3 linked regions of the Notamacropus eugenii genome follow. The protein of the gene in region 1 interacts with the protein of each later gene in a biochemical or structural test. Links are inferred from orthologs where the notes say so. Each region holds a gene or a part of one and is shown on either strand. Other genes may lie near its edges. The genes, in order: RB1, RBBP4 and CDK3.

What was found.
Region 2: the proteins of RB1 (region 1) and RBBP4 form a complex in vitro, tested with the Homo sapiens proteins (2 studies listed by BioGRID). The link is inferred for Notamacropus eugenii from reciprocal best matches to the Homo sapiens genes RB1 and RBBP4.
Region 3: of the proteins of RB1 (region 1) and CDK3, one has a biochemical effect on the other in vitro, tested with the Homo sapiens proteins (2 studies listed by BioGRID). The link is inferred for Notamacropus eugenii from reciprocal best matches to the Homo sapiens genes RB1 and CDK3.

The regions. Positions count from the first base shown.
Region 1 is NC_092876.1:108,202,689-108,206,433, reverse strand, and holds the start of RB1 (retinoblastoma-associated protein), read left to right. Parts: upstream 1-1,368; 5' UTR 1,369-1,620; coding exon 1,621-1,748; intron 1,749-3,745. UniProt on the Homo sapiens protein: Tumor suppressor that is a key regulator of the G1/S transition of the cell cycle. The hypophosphorylated form binds transcription regulators of the E2F family, preventing transcription of E2F-responsive genes.
Region 2 is NC_092876.1:77,231,585-77,235,329, forward strand, and holds the start of RBBP4 (histone-binding protein RBBP4), read right to left. Parts: upstream 2,397-3,745; 5' UTR 2,339-2,396; coding exon 2,284-2,338; intron 2,084-2,283; exon of another isoform or gene 1,752-2,083; coding exon of another isoform or gene 1,736-1,751; intron 1,456-1,735; coding exon of another isoform or gene 1,269-1,455; exon of another isoform or gene 1,069-1,268; intron 467-1,068; coding exon 319-466; intron 1-318. Other genes in the region: ZBTB8OS (protein archease), read left to right, coding at 1,269-1,455. UniProt on the Homo sapiens protein: Core histone-binding subunit that may target chromatin assembly factors, chromatin remodeling factors and histone deacetylases to their histone substrates in a manner that is regulated by nucleosomal DNA.
Region 3 is NC_092873.1:342,252,258-342,256,002, forward strand, and holds the start of CDK3 (cyclin-dependent kinase 3), read left to right. Parts: upstream 1-1,420; 5' UTR 1,421-1,431; coding exon 1,432-1,643; intron 1,644-1,984; coding exon 1,985-2,062; intron 2,063-2,167; coding exon 2,168-2,288; intron 2,289-2,381; coding exon 2,382-2,552; intron 2,553-2,652; coding exon 2,653-2,754; intron 2,755-3,033; coding exon 3,034-3,237; intron 3,238-3,745. UniProt on the Homo sapiens protein: Serine/threonine-protein kinase that plays a critical role in the control of the eukaryotic cell cycle; involved in G0-G1 and G1-S cell cycle transitions. Interacts with CCNC/cyclin-C during interphase. Phosphorylates histone H1, ATF1, RB1 and CABLES1.

The sequences.
Region 1 (3,745 bases):
CATCCAGACAAGTTATGGGGCTTGCTCTAGATCAACAGGTGGGTTACGTAGCAAAGTCAGGATTTGTACAAACTACCAATCTTGAAAGCTCCACGTCTGAAAATACTATCTCCTGGACTCCCTTGGCATGCTTTTAAGTACTGCACACATTCAGCTAAAATAAAGTGAGTGTTGCATGCTGAAAGATCATGGCTGGGAGGGACATAAGAAAGCCATTCAGCTCCAAACCCTTCATTTTACAGATAAGGAAACTGAGCTGAGAGACATTCATTGATCTGCCTAAGACCTCAGGAGCAGTAAGCATCAGAAGTGGTTATCTGAACTCAAGACCTCTGAGTTCAGAGCCTGTGATCTTTCTACTGAACCACTCTACTATCAAATCAAGTCCTAATAATGATAGTTAACATCTGTATACACTTACTATGTACTGGGAGGTGTGCTAAGCACTTCACAATTAATAAGGATGATAGTAATAGCTAACATATATATGCGTGTGTCTCTCTCTCTACATAGACACATATACACACGTATAGATAGATAGATAGTGTTTACCATATGCCAGACAGGAGGCAATTAGGTGGCTCGATGGATTGAGCAGAGGGCCTGGAGTCAGAAAGAAGTGAGTTCAAATTTGTCCTCATACACCTAAGAATTGTGTGACCCCGGGCAAGTCCCGTAACCTGTTTTTGTTTTTTATTTTCAGTTTTCTCCTCTATAAAATGAGCTGGAAGAAGGAATGGCAAAGCACTCCAGTGTTTTTGCCAAGAAGACCCCCAATGGGGCCACGGACAGTTAGCTGCCCACGACTCAACAACAACGATATATCCGGCACTGGGGTAAGGGTAAACGATAACCCTGACATAGCGCTCGCTGAGTGCCAGGCCCTGGGGAAGAGCTGAGCAATGATCCCCTGGGATGCTCACGGCCACCTTGGGAGGCAGCTCGTGGATTATCCCTGTTTGACAGTACAGGGGCGATGACTCGCCCAGGGTCACACTCCCTACGTCTGAGGCTGGAGGGGCTCCTTTACGCATGCGGGCTCCTGCGTCCACAGCACGGGGCAGTCAAGGAGCCGCGTGCTCGGGAGCACGACGGCGCTGCAGGTAACCAGAGGGCAGGCCCAAGCCGGGCCTGCTCAGGGGAAGAGGCCGGCGCTGGTTGCCGGGGCTCCGGGCCTCTCCGTCCCGATAGGTACCCCACCCCCAGCACGGGGCCGGGCCCCACGACACGCTCGTGGCCTCGCCGCGGCCGGCACCCGCAGCCCCACCCTTCTCTCGCCGCGGACCTTCTCCCTTCTGCCTCCCAGGCTCGGCGGGCGGGCCCGGGAACTCGGTGGGACTTAGCGCGCAGGAGCGGAAGTGACGTTTTCCCGCGGTTGAGCGCGGAGCTTTTGGTGCCGGGCTAGGGTTAGAGAGGTGGGTGGAGACAGGGCTCTCCCGGTTGTTTGGTTGTTTTCGGAGAACGTTTAAAGTTTTCTAACGGGAGCCGAGAGAGGACGAAGGGCGTCTGGGGCGGCGCGTTCACTTGGGAAGAGCGCGTGCGCGCGTGTTCCCCTTTGCCCCTCACCTCCCAACCCCCCAGTCGCTCCTGCCAGTCAGTCGGTCGGTCAGTCAGTCAGTCATGCCACCCAAAGCCCCTCGGAAACCGGCTGTTCTGACCCCGGAGCCGCCACCGCCGCCGCCTTCCCCTCCCCCTCGCCAGGAGGAGCCGGAGCCGGATAGCGGCCCAGAGGACCTGCCGCTCGTCAGGTGAGAGAGCCGGGGCCGGAGCCTCTCCGGGGAGCGGGGCACCCGGCAGACGCCGCGGCGTGACCAGGGAGGGGCCGGCTGCCCGTCGAGGCGGCCTGCGGGCCCGAGCCCGGAGCGGGGCACGAGCCCCCGGCGGCCCCTGGGCCGGCTGACAGCTGCGAACGCGGGGCGCCGGGCCGCGGGGACGGGGCTTCCCGGCCGCAGCCTTGGCCCCAGGTTGACAGGTGGGTGGGGCGGGCCGGGGTCCCGGGGAGAAGGAGTGACAGGTGGCTTCTTTCTCTCTCGGGTGGTGGAGGGTGGGGGTGGTGACTGTGCTTAGTCGGGGAGAGAGCATTGTTTCCTCTCCAGAGATGCCCACGGATCCTGTTCTGTTCTGTTCCGTGCGGTGGAGTTCGGAGATTGTTGGGGTCCGAGCGCACCCTGATGAGATACATTAAGAAACCCCACGACATCCCCCTCCCCCACCCCGCCCCCTCCACTCCTAAATGGTGTGTTGAATGCGGGTGCGCATATCATACTTTGTCACTTCCTGTGTAATAAAGCTAATAAAAAGTATTGTTTTTACCATCTTGCCAGAGCTTAGTGTCGGGGTGGTGGTGGTGGGGGACAGTTACTGTGGGAACTGCTGAGAATGAGGGTCCACCCTTCTGTAGTGTTACCAGACTAATGAGAAGTCTAGTGAGATCTGAGCCCCGGAGTATGGCGATGCTGTAAGGTGTGGAGGTGGGAAATGAGAAGTTATTTGTAGTGATTTTGTAAGAAAATTACTCATTAGTAGCATTTTTTTTCTTGGTCCATGTTTTAAACCCTTGTGAAACACTTTCAGTGATGTAATTTACAGCACAAGCGCTTAAAACGTAAAACTGACAAGGGTTGTTCTATGAATTTCGTCTTTATTTTTATTTTTTCCCCAAATTTAGATGAAACTCCTTGCATGTAGATCTGCATCAGCGTGTCAAAGTTGATTGATTTTAAATTTTTGGTGGGTAGAGACATTGATGTCTGATATCGAGTATTGTTTTGTAAGATGTTCAGCCATGACCAATCACATGGAATTGTTTACTTAATGAAATCTTTATATGAGCAACCCTAGTGGATACAGTAGAATATTACAGAGTGGTATGTCATGTGTATGTTACAACTTGTTGGTTGTTTTTCTTTTTTGTAGCCATTCTTTATGTTTGATATTGAAAAACATATATTTAGTATGTTTACTCTCCAGTCAGTCAGCCAGCCAGTAAACATTCATTAAGACCAAGCATGCTATGTGTTGGGAATACCAACAAAGCAAAAGGCAATCCCTGACCTTAAGGACCTCACCATCCAATTGGGGAGACTGCATGCAAACAACTAAGGTACAACAAGACCTATACAGGACAGATTGGAGATCCTGGACAGAAGGAAGGCGCTAGCATTAAGGGGAATTGGAAAATGCTTTTTTGCATGAGGTGGGATTTTAGTTGGGATTTGAAGGAAGCCAAGATTTGTTTCTACTTTGTGGTTATGGATCTATTGAAGGGCAATGAATGCTAATATATACAATTTAAAAAAAAGTCAACTTGATGTTATTGTAAGGTCTTACCATGAAACTGGGCATATAGACAGAGTGGACAGAGAGTGCTGGGCCTGAAGTCAGACTCATCTTCCTGAGTTCAAATCTGGCCTCAGACATTTATTAGCTGTGTTACCCTGGGCAAGTCACTTAACCTTGTTTGCCTCAGTTTCCTTATCTGTAAAATCAGTTGAAGAAGGAAATGGCAAACCACTCCACAGTTTTTGCCAAGAGCAACACAAATGGGGCAACTAAACAACAACAGATATATTATTTGGTTTGTGTTTTTAATAGGCTCATAGAAGACATTTTGAGTGCTTTAAATGTACAATTAAAATATATAAGTAGAAAGAATACAAGAGGTCAGATTTCAGATGGTGATGTAGTAGAAAATGTCGTTCTTTATTCAGCTAGTCAAGTTCTGGTGGTTTTCCTAACATTAGCA
Region 2 (3,745 bases), about 31 Mb from region 1:
TAGAGTAGATCCTCAGATCTAGGATAGCTAGATGGTACAGTAGATGGACTACTGGACCTGGAGTCAGGAAGACACCATTCAAATCCGGCATGGGACATTTACTAGTTTTGTAACTCCAGGCAAGTCACTTAATTTCTGCCTCAGCTTCCTCATCTGTAAAACAAGGATAATAACAGCACCTACCTCCCAGGGTTGTTGTGGTGTTTTAATGAGATATTTGTAAAGTTCCTTGTAGACAATAAAGATCTATATAAGAGCTCACTATTATTATTTTGATGCCACTCCTAGTGCTTTTAACCATTAAGATATTCAGATCACCTGGTTACATCTGGAAGCCACTGTGCAGTCAGGCTGGGCCACTCTAGGGCATGGGTCATCACTAAGTCATAGAGAAAAGGAGTATTTTTTTTCCATATTTTATACTCCTCGTTGATCACTCGTTCTTCTACAGCATCATCAAAGGCTGCTAAAAAAATAAAATAAACGGAGTTAACCTCCAGATGTGAGTACTTTGAAAAATGAAACATGGCACACATTTCTTTCCTCAGGCAGCTTGTGAGGGACAGGAGTATCCAGCCCCTTGTACAAGGTGTTAATCCTCCAAATCTTCCCCCTTTCCCATTTGTGTGGGACTGTAAAGAACTTCAGGGCTCATTTCATAGGTTTAATGGCTGGAAAAAGCTTTTTGGAGATTGAATTCAGCCCCTTCCTTTTTCAAATGAGTAAACAGGGGCTAACAAGAAAAAAATGGGACCGAGCCAGTCGAAGGTGACAAATCTTACTGCGTGCTTAATACAAAGAACGCACTAAAGGTGCAAAGGTTAAAAAAAATACCCATCCTTCAGAAACATTCCCGGAGGGTGAGCGGATGTAACACAAATAGATAAGGAATGGGATTCTCCAGTCAGAAAGAGTGCTAAGAGCGAGGGCGAGCACGTCAAGGTCCACTTTACTGGAGTTCTTCCAAGCTTCCCCCGGGAGACAGGACGCGCGAGGAGCCCTGCGAAGTCCAGAACTCCGGGACGCCCAGCGGGGGGGAGCGCTCCAGGCAGGAGCCGGGGCCGAGCTCGGGGCCGAGCGGAGGGGTCGGCGAGGCTCCACCGGGGACAGCGTCCGCAAAGGCCGGGCTGGACCACGAGGGACTTCAGCGTCCGCGAGGGTTTCGTCCTCCATCCCGTGCCCACTGGGGAGCCCGCTGGGGGCACGGGCAAGCCCAAACTCGCCATCACACCCGGGCTTCAGGCGGATTGTTCAGGAGGCGGGCACGGATGCTGGAGAAAGCCCCCAAGTCTCATCCTCCAGCTCTCCAAGTGAAGCCACCTGTCCAAGGTCACTCAGCCGGCGTAGCAGCGCCGTCGGTCGGCAGGACTTGGGTTCCGATTCCGCCTTGGCTACTCGCTACCCCGCGAACTTGGGCAAGTCCCGCGCCCTCGTGCGGCCTCAGTTTCCCCAGATGTAAGAAGCGGGGGATGGAATCCCCAACTTGGCAGAGCTCGCCGCCGCGCACCCCTCCCCCCAGCCCCAGGGGGCCTCCTTCCTGGGGACGGACACGTAGACCAGGCGGAGAGGCCTGCGGGAGGATCGCAGTCCCGGGACACCGGGAAGAGCGGGAGGCCGCGGGTGGGGAGGGCTCCTCTCACATCCCTCCCTTCGCGGTCTGGGAGGGCCTATTCGGGCGGCCGGGAAGGCCCCCTCCTCCGCGCTCGGCCCCCTTCCCTCCCCCTGCTCTCCTCACCTTCCTTGTCGGCCATGGTGGGCGAAGAAGCTGACGGACTGAATGACGGGCGCAGGGGCCGGGGACTCCCGGGGTCGCAGCACCGCGAAGGGGGGGGGGGTGAGGGTGAAGGGGTGGGGGTGGGGAGGGCTCGACGGCGCTCGCTCAGAGCGCGCGGCCTCTATTGTTTCCTGCCGCCCCTGCGTGTGGCCCGAGTCGCGCACCTTCGCGCCAACGGCGGCCAATCGGAACAGGCTCAGGCGAAAGGAGGGGGGCGAAAGGGGAGGAGGGCGCCACGGCGGTGGCCAATTGGAAGGCGCGTCGCCACCGCGAGCCGGCCTCGGCCTCGAGGTCTACCCCTCCCCCCAAGGTTTGGCACCGCCTCCTCCTCTCCCCGCGCGGTCGGGTTGCCGAGATTAGCGAGCGCGCGCAGCCCAGCCGCCCGGGAAAACGGTTGGTGGTCACGTGAGCGGGGCGGGAGGGGGAGGGGAAAGCTGGAAAACGGGGGAAGGCTCGAAGCTCCCCTGGGAGGCGGCCATTTTCCAAAGTCAGGCTCCATTAAGGCTCACCCGAGGTTCTGGCTTTGACCTCCTTCGACGGGAGAGTCCCAGGACCCCCCTCCATTGAGGCGAGAGGGAACTTGGGACCCTTTACGGAGGGTAGCCCAGCTTCTTTCCTCGGGGGCGAACGCACCGTCACCTAGACCTACAGTAGTGTAAGGGCTGGGGGGGAGGGGGGAGCCAATTTAGCCCCCGACTGTCTCCCTGTCAGCTCCTCCCACTACGTGATAAGGCCTAGGGTCAGCGACCGTAGCGGAGGATGGCTAAAACTGAGGCCTGGCCCTTTAAGGGCACGCGTCGCGGGGCGGGGACTCCGGGCGGAAGCTGCGCCGGCGAAGGGCGGAAGCGGAGCCTTGGCGGAGTAAGTCATGGCTCAGGAAGGGGAAGACGTGAGGGACTACAACCTGAATGAAGCGCAAAAGGCGATCAAGGCCAAGTACCCCCCGGCCACCCGGAAATACGAATGTGAGTGCTCTTCCTCTCAGATTTGGGGCGGCCTTCTACCTAGGGTGGAGAAGGGGCGCTCTCGAGGCGTGAGACGGCCGCAGTGGCAGTCCTTGCCCCGCGCCACTAATGGACCTTGGGCTCCCTCGTCTTACCGCGCCCCATTTTGCAGAGGTGTAGCCTGAGATGGAGAGCCCAGAGTCCCACCGAGAAGATGCCCAGGGCACACACTCCACAGGGCCCCTGGCCGGTTTCCTGCTCGCGTCCCTCCCGGGTCTGAGCCGCAGCGTCCTTTTCTGTAAAAGACTAGATCACAGGATCGCAGATTTAGAGTCGGAGGGCATTTAGTCCAGTCTCATTTCACAGAATCCTCCCACCCATTGAGAAGGCAAGCTGTGTGATGCCCATTATGTGGATGAAGGCATGCAAAATATGGGTCTATATTGGCCATGTGTTACGGAGTATGTTAAATATAAATGTGTGCGCTATATGCGTTTAAAGTTCTTAGGGTTTTGGGGTAAGAGTCACGGGATTATAGATTTACAATTAGAAGGGATCTCAAAGGTCATTGGTCTAGGCTTTCATTTTACAGATGAGAACATGGTTCCAGAGAGGTTAAGTGACTTGCCTAAGGTCAAACTGGTATTAGAAACTCAGCAGAGTTTGGAATTTGAACTCAGGTCTTATAACTCCAAGTGGGATGTTCTTTCCATTGGTTCACACTACTATAGTAAAGTAGGAGAAGCTGCTGAGTAAATTTAAAGGCAGGCAATAAGTATTTAGGGTCCTTTGTAGTGGATAAAAAAATGAGTTCATAAATATTTTAGTGGCCACTCTATACAAAGGATTATACTAGGTATTTTTCCCTTAAAGAATTTATGGTCTAGTTGGGAATCCAGAACTAGTATGCATGGAAGAATTAGAGAGCATTATAATAATATGTTAATTGAGCATTAAAATTGTAGGTTGCTACAGGAGTTCAGCAAAGAGGGAGATAAGGGAAGATGAGTTAGGGAAGTTGGCTTGG
Region 3 (3,745 bases), on another chromosome or scaffold:
TCCAACATTCATCTGTTTCTGTCCATCGTAGCCCATATGCTAGTGTGAAAACAGAGCTCTAAGGGACCAAATACCTCTTTCCCCAAAGGGCCCATTTATTTTACCGGACACATTTTTGGGGAGATGGTGATGAAGGTTAATGGAAGAAATATTTTCTGTTTTCTAGAGGGCTGGGCATGCATTCATATGAGGTGGTTTTTGTGTGACCTATGGACCAATCCTCCTCACCCCCATCCCATGTGGACCAGGTCGCGTCCTTGGGGGCAAAGTTTCTTTCTTTGGTTATCACCTCCACCCTCAGAGATTTATTCCAGGGAAATCTCTTAAATAAAGCTTAGGTATAGCTTTTCTTTTTAACAGTAATTAATTTATTCTGAACTTAGCTGACACCAAATACAGTGAGCATTTCCATACACAAAGCACAGCAGAAGAAAGGACTACACGTGTGGTCCAGGGGTACCTGTCAGATGTAAGACAACCTTTATTTGACATGAAAAGACATGAGACTCAAGGGACTGAGGAACCCATGGACAAATAAAGAAACCTAAGAGCCTGGGCCAGGGTGAGTCTACCAGGTTATCAGCCGCGATGGGGTGACCAGGACGGCCTTGGGGAGGCCCCTCCAGCCCTCCAGCTACAGAAGCCATGTTGTGGGCCTCAGCCTTCTCTGTGGAGCGTTCTCTGAGGAAACCCCCTGGGGGAGCCCCAAACACCAGAATGTTACATTTGGAGATGAACTGCTTACGAGATGACCCCCAAGGCTGGGGACTCTGACTTGGGCTCTTGGGGTTGGGGTCGGTAGGGGAGGACTGCCCCCCCCCCCCCCCACCGCTATGGCCTGGAAGTCCAGGACAAAGGGCCTGGCCCTTCACGCCTCCCCAGGGCTGTGTGGGAACCTGCCGCAGAAGGAGGAAGGGCTGGGTCCTGGAGTGCTTGGTGACCTTCCTGTGGGGGAGGGGGGAGAGGGACAGGGACCCCCAGGGCCCCTGTGCAGGGAGGGGGGCCCTTGGAAGGCCCCAGGCCCGGGGCAGGGCCTGAAGCAGGGCCTTCAGGGAAGGCAGGCACTAGGCCCGAAAGCCTGCTGGCACCAAGGCTGCCTCCGAGGCTCCTGGGGCTGTCCTTTGACCTCTGACCTCCAGGCTGTTCCCAGGGTGCCCCTGAGGGAGCCTGAGCTGGAGTGGGGGAGGTGGGAGGGAGCAGAGAGGACACAGGAGGGACAGGAGGTTTGGTCCTCCCTGCTCCCCGTAGTGGGCAGCAGCGGGCAGGCCGGGGTGGGGGGCTTGGCTTCAGGCTTGGGGAGCCTCCTAGTGCCCTGGAGGACCTGTCCCCAGGCCCCGGAGCTCACAGGCCCCAAGGGTGGAAGAGAGCCTGAGGGTGGGGCAGGGGGGGATGAGCCCCATGCCAGGGCACTGCCAGGAGGGGGCAGCGGGGATGGAGGGGCAGGTCACCCAGGGGTCTGGTGGTGGTGCCAGGGGGGCCAGGCATGCTCAGGGCAGGCCCTCTGACCCCCAGGCAGGCAGCGCCAGCATGGACGTGTTCCAGAAGGTGGAGAAGATCGGGGAGGGCACCTACGGGGTGGTGTACAAGGCGAGGAACAGACAGACCGGCCAGCTCGTGGCCCTGAAGAAGATTCGCCTGGACTCGTGAGTGCCCGGGCAGGGGCCACCTTCCCCCGGGCGCCCGCCGTGGCCTTCTCCCACCTTCCCAGCCGCAGGGCTCACATTCAGTTCCTAACCTCTGTCCTCCCCCACCTTTCTGCCCCTCTCCTTGTACCCAGGTGTGTGTGGGGGGGATTCCAAGCTTGAGACACCTGCTTCAGACAGAGAGGGTTGTTCTCGTACCCACAGAGTCAGGGGTGAGGGTGTGGGCAGGGGGACATCTCAGGAGGAGGACGATTGGGCAAGGCCCTCAAGCTAGATGCTGCGTCCTTAGATCGTGCCTCCTGCCTCCAGTCTCATCCCCCGCAACCCATCCCTTACTGCAGGGAGACGGAGGGTGTCCCAAGCACTGCCATTCGGGAGATCTCCCTTCTCAAAGAACTTAAGCACCCCAATATCGTCAGGTAAGTTAGAGGGGAGAGGCCCAAGAGAATGAGGGGCCCTCCCCACCCTACCTCCCCCTGACTGGGAATGCTCCTAGTTTTTTGTGACTAGAATCTTCTCATCAGGCTACTGGATGTGGTGCACAGTGAGAAAAAACTGTACCTGGTGTTTGAGTTCCTCAGCCAGGACCTGAAGAAATATATGGACTCAGCTGCAGCCACAGAACTTCCCCTGCATCTGGTCAAGGTACCATGAAATAAGAGAGGGTGGGGATGATGGTGCCTCCTACCTACCCAGACCCAGTTATACTCCCACTAAGCCTCTGCCCTTCTGTTCTAGAGCTACCTCTTCCAGCTGCTCCAAGGAGTAAATTTCTGCCACTCCCATCGGGTCATCCACCGTGATCTAAAGCCCCAGAACCTTCTCATCAATGAATTAGGTGCCATCAAGCTGGCTGATTTTGGGCTGGCCCGAGCCTTTGGTGTGCCCCTGCGTACCTACACCCATGAGGTACTATTGGGTTAGGGACCAGAGCTTTACTTGTATGTGGGCTGGACTACCACTCAACCACCAGGGTGGCCCAGAGTGGCACTGGCTTCTGCCCCTACAGGTGGTAACCCTCTGGTATCGCGCCCCTGAAATTCTCCTGGGCTGCAAGTTCTACTCAACAGCTGTGGATGTCTGGAGCATTGGTTGCATCTTTGCAGAGATGGTAAAGGGAGACAAAGGAGGGTGTCCTGCTGAATTTAGGCTCAGTCTTCTGGGTGGTGTAGGAGTCGGGCTAGCTGGAGGGCTGAGCAAACTATAACCGTACCTCACAGCTATAGAAACCCTGGAAACAGGTTAGCTCAAAACGTTCTACTTTTGACCTTCTTCACCAAGCCCTAAAAGTTTACTCTGTGTTGGATTCTGTTTAGAGGGAGATAGGGAAAGGGGAGATTAAGAAAAAGGAATTAGGTGCTGGGGGTAACAAGGAGTTCTCTCCCTTTAGGTGACACGCAGGGCCCTATTTCCTGGTGATTCTGAAATTGACCAGCTGTTTCGAATTTTTCGGACCCTTGGCACACCCAGTGAAGCCATGTGGCCAGGGGTCACCCAGCTGCCAGATTATAAGGGCAGTTTCCCCAAGTGGACCAAGAAGTCAATAGAGGAGATTGTGCCTAGTCTTGACCCAGAGGGCAAAGACCTGCTCATGGTAGGTGAATGGAAGATGGAAAAGAGGGTATCCGACTCCAGCTGTTGGTCCAGAGTCTGGTCCAGTTAGGGTGAGGAGCTATGCCTGCTTTGGCAGGAGTCAATCCAATCAGCCAAACCCATCTGTTTTTTGTTTCCTGCATTTATCTTGCTCTTCTCTGCCTCATTAGTTAGAACCACTCCCTCCACCACAACATAGCTAACATTTGAATGGCACTTCAAAGTTTGCCAAGGACTTTACATTTGATACTCACAACAATCCTGTAAAGGAGGAGGTGCTATTGTTATCCCCATTTTACAGATGAGGACCGACCCTCAGAGCAGTTACATGATTTACCTAAAGTCACACAGCTAGTAAGTATATGAGTCAAAATTTGAACCCCAGATTTCTTGGCAACAAATCCTCTATGCTGGAGTGCCTCTGTATTTGGCCTATCTTCCCTGCTCCCATCCTCACATTTAAAACCGTTCATAACACCCCTTTTCTAGAAAGACTTTCCTATTTAGCA